2 linked regions of the Sus scrofa genome follow. The protein of the gene in region 1 interacts with the protein of each later gene in a biochemical or structural test. Links are inferred from orthologs where the notes say so. Each region holds a gene or a part of one and is shown on either strand. Other genes may lie near its edges. The genes, in order: ITPR1 and CABP1.

The links.
Region 2: the proteins of ITPR1 (region 1) and CABP1 form a complex in vitro, tested with the Homo sapiens proteins (2 studies listed by BioGRID). The link is inferred for Sus scrofa from reciprocal best matches to the Homo sapiens genes ITPR1 and CABP1.

The regions. Positions count from the first base shown.
Region 1 is NC_010455.5:61,066,470-61,070,984, reverse strand, and holds the start of ITPR1 (inositol 1,4,5-trisphosphate receptor type 1), read right to left. Parts: upstream 2,855-4,515; 5' UTR 2,602-2,854; intron 1,762-2,601; 5' UTR 1,686-1,761; intron 1-1,685. UniProt on the Homo sapiens protein: Inositol 1,4,5-trisphosphate-gated calcium channel that, upon inositol 1,4,5-trisphosphate binding, mediates calcium release from the endoplasmic reticulum (ER).
Region 2 is NC_010456.5:40,580,237-40,584,044, reverse strand, and holds part of CABP1 (calcium-binding protein 1), read right to left. Parts: intron 3,543-3,808; coding exon 3,512-3,542; intron 3,253-3,511; coding exon 3,109-3,252; intron 479-3,108; coding exon 369-478; intron 135-368; coding exon 1-134. UniProt on the Homo sapiens protein: Modulates calcium-dependent activity of inositol 1,4,5-triphosphate receptors (ITPRs). Inhibits agonist-induced intracellular calcium signaling.

The sequences.
Region 1 (4,515 bases):
GAGAAACACCTGATCCATTTAACCTGCTCAGATATCTTGATGTAGATGATCAAGATGGATCTCAGGTATGGGATAAACCTAATGCAGACCTTAGCCATTGTTCCTTGTTGTTTGGCTTGGTTTCTTTTCCTCTCCTCTTGCAGGCTTTCAGCACATAGCATTCCAAAATGAATTCGGTACCACCCCTAAGACCTCCTCAGATAACCACAGTCTTTTTATTCCTACATCTGTGGCTGCATCGTTTTCCTCTTACATCAGGGTAACTTTGCTCAATGGTGGGACACAAGCAAGAGTTATATCATCCACAGCAATAAATTTACCATTTTTCCTGGTTTTTTTTCCTCATTCTCCCCCACCTTAGGTGCACTGGTGGGAAACAGTGGAGTCCCACAGCCTGGTGTTCCCCCTCCTGTGCTGTGTGCTAACTAACAGGCAAGTGTTTTCACTCTCCAAACTTCAGCTTCTTCACCTGGACCTGATTCAACAGGGTTTCTGTGATGTCTGACACGGGACCTGGCTTATAAGTACTTAATTGTATTATTATTATTATTTTTAGCAACCAGTCATAGAAGAGTTAGTGGACCACTTTCCCCGGACTGCAGCTTACTCTGAAGAGGAGAACTAACCCCAAGCCTTGGCCTTATGAGTGCCCACGTAGCCATGCGATTCAGGAGAACTCCAAGAAGGAAGTAGACCTCACACATCCAAATGCTTCCCACTCCACCAGCACTCCTGAGGATCTTATCAACAGGAAACAAAAGCACAGTACTACTATAATGAAGTGTCTGACTTTTCTAATTAGCAAAGCCCAAAGATTGTAGCCCAGGGAACAGCTAAATATTTAGAAGCGATCATGAAGACCCAGTCCCCCAAAGGATCTGTTGATCCTGTTCCTGACCGTTTCAGAAGAAAAAACTTTTGATGCTCAATTCTGCAGCAACGGGGATGTATGTGCACCAGTTAAAATCTCCCTCTATTCAACTGCAGTCTGAACATCTGGGGGAGGAAGGCATAGGAGCTGCTTCTGTTTACAAATAAACAGCTCTCAGCTAATAACCCAGGACAGGCATCTAAACCATAGCGATCCACCAGATTCCTTGACATTCAAGTGGCTTCAAGTCAAGGGCTGGAGGCTACTATCTTATGCTTCAAGAACTTCCCTTTTTAAAGTTCTAATTCTTTCAATTGGCCAGCAACCACTTTCATTTCTTGCAAGCAAACCGACCCTGATTAAACACCCATTCACAGTAAGAAAAAAGAAAGTGACTATTTTTGAAAGAGGCAGGCAGATAATTTTTGCTTACATATCTTGGCAGATGAAATGCACTGCATCCTTCAGAATTTAAATCTTCAGCACACCACCTGGCAAGTTCAGTTCTCAGGTCACCAATGGGCATCCCTTGTACTGCTCCATTTAATGTTGTTGTGAGGGTTTTTCTTCCCTCCTGTCAGAAACCTGGCTGCTTCACTTCTGAGCCAGGACCAAAAGCCCTAGGCAGGACCATCCCCTGGTTATCATCAGCTCCCTAAAGCCCTCATCCAAGGTGGTGACAAATTTTGGAGACTGAGCCATGGAATTTCCCTTTCTTTCCTGCTCCCCTTCTCCATGGCTCTTTAGAGAGAACTTAAAATAGGCTAGGACAAAAACTTATTATGGACTACAGCTCTAAGGCTTCCACACTTACCTGACCCAGGTCAGGCACTCTGTTGCCAAAACACGCCCAGCCAGGGGTGCGAGTCCTGTTCCTCTGTAGTCAGCTCCTGCATATTAAGAAAGAAGACTGAATATAAGATTGGCTGATGATGAGTCCCTAATAGAAATTCTCAAATTCCACACTTCCACTTTCTTTAGGCTCTTTCCTGGAGGGACAAACCCCCTCCCACCTACATACACACACACAGGGCCACCGCCACCGCCAAATTTGACGGGTGTGTTGGTGGGATCAAGAGGTGAAGGTTACAGGTAACTTCGCCTATTTGTTTCTAATATGTAACTGATAAGTGAGACTAGGAACGCACAAACTTCCAGTGTGCCGGGAAGATCTGAGACTAAGGGAAGTGTTTGGCAGATCCCAAAGCACTTGTTTCCCGGAGCGAAGGCCAAGTATCTGAAGCCCGCATCCTCATCGGGCGTGAGCTTCGTCCACACTTGGTCCTTCACCGCTCCTCGGGTTTTCTTCCGTTTTTTAAAACCCTCTTCACCGGGACCCCCAAATGCATTATTCTCCCAACCATGCAGCACGAGGGAGGGCTACATTTTAAGAAAGATTATTTCCTTGAGCGGACTCACAGAGGACATCCCCACGCCCCCCCCCCCAAAAAAAAAAAAACTATTTCCTGCAGCTGCTGCAACAGTTTCCAACTTGGGGGAATGCCATTCCAATCCAGAATGGGTAGTCCTCAAAGCCAGGCGATGGAGTTGAGAATTTTTTTTTTAACCTCAAATGAACCCCCCCCCAAAACGTCCTCAGTAAAAGAACCCCCAAATGCACGCAAGTGCATGCAAATCCACCAAGAACTACCAAAAAGCGAGGCAAAAACTTCTGCGCCCGGGGGGACAGTACCAACTCCCCGCGCCCTCCGCCCGGCCCCAACCTCTACCTTGGTGCCCGGGGAGCCACGCCGGTTTGGGGGAGCAGGGCGAGGAGAGGGGTTAGCGGCTGCTGGGTAATCCCATGTCCGCGAAGAGGGAGCTCGTTCCGTTAGGATGGAAGCGGAACACCCACACCTCCTCTCGGCGTGCGCTTTCTCTCTCTCCACCCTCTGCCTCCTCCTCCACCACCACCACCTCCTCCTCCTCTCCTCCCACCCCAGCAAGCTTGAGGAAACGCTTCAGCAGCACATCCACATGGTTACTGCACTTTGAAGCGGCTCCTGGCAGCTTATATAGGCCGGGAAGCTCCCTGGGCAATGTAGTCCGAGCCCAGGGTCGTGGCGGCGCCTGGGGCCGCGGTGACGAACTACAAGTCCCAGAATCCCATGGGCTACCGGGCTGAGCTCTAAATAGACGCGCGCGGGGACAGGGAGGGGCGTCCTGCCCCGCGCCGAGGCTTCAAACCCGGTTCAGTGCTGGGAGCTGGCTGGACTTGGAGACGGCGACCCAAAACTACCCCTGGAGGGCGCCCCCAACCCTTGGGGACGCTCCTCCTTTGGCTGTCCCCTTTCCCTAGAATCCAGGTGTCCCTGGTAGCAAGGGGCGAGAGGAGCTCGGATTTCTGCTTTGGGAAGTTTTTACAAGCTGTTACCCACCCTCCCCCCGCTTTGAGTACCAGAGCCAAGAATTTCAGAAATCCAGGGCACGAAAAAGCCAGTGTTTGCGGTCAAGGATTAAAGGCGCGAGGTTGTCTTTATTTAATCTGCTCCGCCCGGTTCGGGTTTGCACAGAAAATTAAGTCTGGGAGCAACACTAGCAGGGACGCTGGCAAGTGGCTAGAGAGCACTTTCCTGAACCCGAACTGCATGTGTCTTTCCTCGCCCCGCAGGAGGTATAGAAACTTAAGCCTCTCGGTGTACAAATAAAGGAACCGAGTTTTGACTTGCCAGGGCTGGGATTGGGAAGCAGAAAATAAATACAAACCGCGACCTCGGTCCTGACCCTGCTTCTAGCAGCCCCTCTGCTCCTGGGAGCTGTAAATGCTTAAGTAAATAAACCGCAAACCAGAAAAACAAGGGCTTTGGAATGAGTAGCTTACACAAAGATGCGCGTTCAGGCGGGGTGCCCTCCAGCAGCTCCCACAGGGGCTTCGGGGGCAAGATGGGTTTCAGCTCACTGCTCAGGAGAGCCTGGACGTCCCGGGTTACAATCTGCTTCAGACTCTGGTTTTTGGAAGAAGGGCAGAAGCTAAGTTCGGAGGCCAAGTCTGCCAGATGCCCTCCCTGCCTCAGACGATGTGCGTTCATTGCAGAAACGTTTCCTGAGAATCTACTGGGTGCCAGGCACTGGGGCATGGTAGTGAGCCAAAACCACATCATAGAATTCCGAACAGACACAGCTTGCCACCGCATAGATCTGCTGCAACAACAATGGTAATAATAATTAGGCAGATTTTATTGAGTCCAGACCACATGCACTTTTCATGCTTAAAGCTGTTAAGTTTTAACAACCGTAGGCATATGTATTATCCCTATTTGACAAACGAGGGCTCAAAGAAATCAGGTAACTTCCCAAGATGACACCATAATTTAAGTAGTGCAGCCTGGATTTCAATTCCAGTCTATAAATGTACCAAGTCCTTGTCTTTGGGGAAATCCATCACCACTGCCTTAAACAGCCTCCCTCCGCATTTTAGGAGTAGCCTCTGAGCCCTTGGGCAAGTCATCTTTATCTCTTTGCCCTAGTTTTGCCATCTTAGAGGAAGAAAATCATCACAATTTGCCAACTTCCTCTCAGGATTACTTGATACAGAGTCAACAGTGTTGTGGAACTTCAGGAACAAATTAGGGGAGCACCATGGCAAATAATTATTTCTGACATTATAATGCCAAATCTAATAATAATTACTGAAATTTGCTGGA
Region 2 (3,808 bases), on another chromosome or scaffold:
CGTCCATCCCCATTGAGGTCCACGTCTCGGATGATTTCCTCTATGTCTCGGTGTCCCACCTGATGACCCAGGAGCTTCCTCATGGCCTCTCGTAACTCACTGGTGCTTATCTCCCCATCACCATTGGTGTCAAACTAGAGAAGGGAGGAGGGGGGGAGAGGTAGCTAGAACATGGACCCTGTCAGAAGCAGATCCCAAGGTTGAGCCCCTTCTCCAGCATCACTGCCCCCCTTCCCCAGAGCCCTTCTCTGTCCCAGCTCCTTCCCCTAGTCTGGGATCCAGAACTCAGGTTTCTATTCAGATAGCCATCCTGGGTTGGAATTCAAGTGAACTCCCTGCCCCCTGCCTCTCCACTGCCCGTCACTCACCTCTCGGAAAGCATCTCGCAGCTCTTTTACTCCAATCATATCTGCCGTCTCCGCCAGGAGTTTAGGTCCCATTAGCTCCACAAAGTCATCAAAATCTACATGGCCACCCACTGGGGACAGAGAAAAGGGCTGGGTCATCCATCTGACCATTGCCCATTTCCAACTAGGCAACTGGGGGAACTGCCATCCCCTCCTTGACCTGCCCAGCGCCAGTGTATAAGCAAAGGCCAAATGAGGCCAGAGAGATGACCATAGATGGGGGTGGGGTTTATCAGAGAATGACCAGGGGCTGACGAAGGGAACAAATTAGGAAGTGGACAGGGACAGACATGGATGGGAGAAAGAAACATTAGGTCACAGAGACGGGCAAAGAATTTCAGAGAAGGAGAGAGACATATGCAGAAAGGCAGAGAGAAACAGAAGTTCTGGGCCCCTCACGCACCTTGCCTTCCCCTTATGCAAATAGAACTCACCTTCCAACTGGCTCTCAATGGAGCTGCCCCTAGGGCCTGCTCACAGCACTTTCAGCCAGCAACTGAATTTGGGGGATAAATACCCAGCCTGCAAGGTGAGGGTTATGGGAACTCTGAGGTGGGCCTGCTACACCAGCTCCCTGAGCCCCTAGCAGAACTAGACTCTGTCACCCACGTGGTTGTCGTTCCCTCCATGGCTCCTTTGACCTCTCGCTTCCCTACTCCCTGCCGACGCTGTGCTTCCCCTACCGAATAAACTACTCACACTCAAACCCTTGTCTCCAGGTCTGCTTCTGGGAGAACCCAAATGGAGACAAAGATAATAAAAATAGCATCTCTGTTCACCTCTTGCTGTGTGCCAAATATTGGGCCCGTTTTAGGTATGTCTCCTAAAGAGAAACAGACTCACAGATACAGAAAACAAACTAGTGGTCACCAGTGGGGAGAGGGGTGGGGGTGGGGAAAGATGGGGCAGGGGATTAAGAGGTAGTAACTATGTATAAAATAAAAAAGCCTTATCAGACACAACCTAGAATAGATTTACAAGGAGATCCTGCTTAATAGCATTGAGAACTATGTCTAGATACTCATGTCGCAACAGAAGAAAGGGTGGGGGAAAAAACTGTAACTGCAATGTATACATCTAAGGATAACCTGACCCCCTTGCTGTACAGTGGGAAAATAAAAAAAAAAAAAAAAAAAAAAAAGGCTACAAGGACTTTTTTTTTTCATTTTTTTTATTACTCAAATGAACTTATCATATCTGTAGTTGTATAATGATCATAACAGGACTTTTTTTTTTTTTTTGGTCTTTTTGCCATTTCTTGGGCCACTCCCGTGGCATATGGAGGTTCCCAGGCTAGGGGTCGAATCGGAGCTGTAGCCACCGGCCTATGCCAGAGCCACAGCAACTCGGAATCTGAGCCGCATCTTCGACCTACACCACAGCTCATGGCAATGCTGGATCCTCAACCCACTGAGCAAGGCCAGGGATCGAACCCGCAACCTCATGGGTTCCTAGTCAGATTCGTTAACCACTGAGCCACGATGGGAACTCCTACAAGGATATATTGTACAGCATAGAGAATGTAGCCAATATTTTACAATAACTTTATTTATTTTTTGGCTATGCCCATGGCATGCAGAAGTTCCCAGGCCAGGGATGGAACTTGTGCCAGAGCAGTGACAATATTGGATCCTTAACCACTAGACCATCAAGGAACTCTAATATTTTACAATAACTTTATTTCATTTTATTTTATGGCCACTCCCATGGCACATGGAATTTCCTGGGCCAGGGATTGAGTCCAAGCCACAGTTGGATCCTTTAACTCATTGCACTGGGCTGGGGCTCAAACCCATGCCTCTGCTGCAACCTGAGCCACTGCAGTCAGATTCTTAATCCATTGCATCACAGTGGGAACTCCCACAATAACTATAGAATATAATCTATAAAAATTTGGGGGAGTTCCTGTTGTGGCCCAGCGAAAATGAATACAACTAGTATCCATGAGGATGCAGGTTTGATCCCTGGCCTCATTCAGTGTTAAGGATCTGGCATTGCTGTGAGCTGTGGTGTAGGTCGCAGACATGGCTCAGACCCGGAGTTGCTATGGCTGTGGTGTATGCTGGCAGTTGTAGTTCTGATTTGACCCCTAGCCTGGGAACTTCCATATGCCGTGGACGCAGTGCCCCCTCAAAAAAAATAATCACTATATTGTACACCTGAAACTAATATAATATTGTAAGTCAACTACACTTCAATTTAAAAAAGAAAGAAATTCCCTAAAGAGGCAAATCTCTATAGACAAAAAGTGGATTACTGGCTACCTAGGGCTAGGGAGGGGCTTGGGGGTGATGGCAAAGTGATACAGAGTTTCTTTGGGAGGAAATGAAAATTTTCTAAAATTGATTGTGGAGATAGTTGCGCAACTCTGAATACACTAAAAGCCACTGACTGGCATGTATGGTTCAAGTGAGTAAATTGTATGGTATATGAATAAAGCTGTTACCAAAAAAATAAATAAATGAATAAATACACCAAGAAAAAAAAGTGACTAAATATTCCCCCTAATTGACTTCCTGTGCTCTACTCCCCCATCCCACCCCTCATTTCACAGGTGAGGAAAATAAGGCACAGAGAAGGTAAGTGATTTTCCCCAGGTCGCAGAGCTAGGAAGAGGTGGGCCCAGGACTGGAACCCAGGCAGAAGACAGCATGGACAAGGACAGGTGGAGGGAGGCGGGGAGTGCCAGGGAAGGACTCACGGTTCATGTTGATCTGCTGGGACAGCTCAATGAGCTCCATCTCAGTGGGCATGTAGCCCATAGTGCGCATGCAGTTGCCCAGGTCCCGGCAGTTGATGTAGCCATCCTTGTCCTTGTCAAATTCCTTGAAGGCCTCCCGGAGCTCTGGGGAAGAGAAGCAAGCTGGACGGGCTGGGGCGGGACCTCTGGCCCTGCTGGGGCTATGGCAGCCCCCACTGATTTGGGCAGTCAGACCCTGGAGCTGCCCAGAACCATGCCTTCCTCCAGCACCTGGCTGAGCAGAGGATGCCCAGCTCTGTACCAGGCCCCATTCTCCAGAGGCCGAGATGTCTCTGCCTCTCTTCCCTCCCCTCATCTTCCTGGATGGCTGAGCAACCCTCTCCCCTGAGGACATGGGTCTTACCTTCAATCTCCTCTGGTCGCAGCGATCTGTCCTGAAACAAAAGAACATGTTCTGTTAGCAGCTGTGAGGAGCTCAAGTCTTATGATGCCCAGCTGGGGGCTGGCCGAGTGGCAGCAGGTGCCTGGTGGGAGGTGGTGGGCAGCAGCCGAGGCGTGCCCAGACCACGTCCTGGAGGGAAAAGGTGCAACTCCGCATGTCTCACAGACGTGGGACATGTGCAGGGAGCCAGGAGCCCCATCCAGCCTGGGCACAGAACCTCTGCGCCCCCAGCTCCTTATTCCAGACACAAGAATGTGT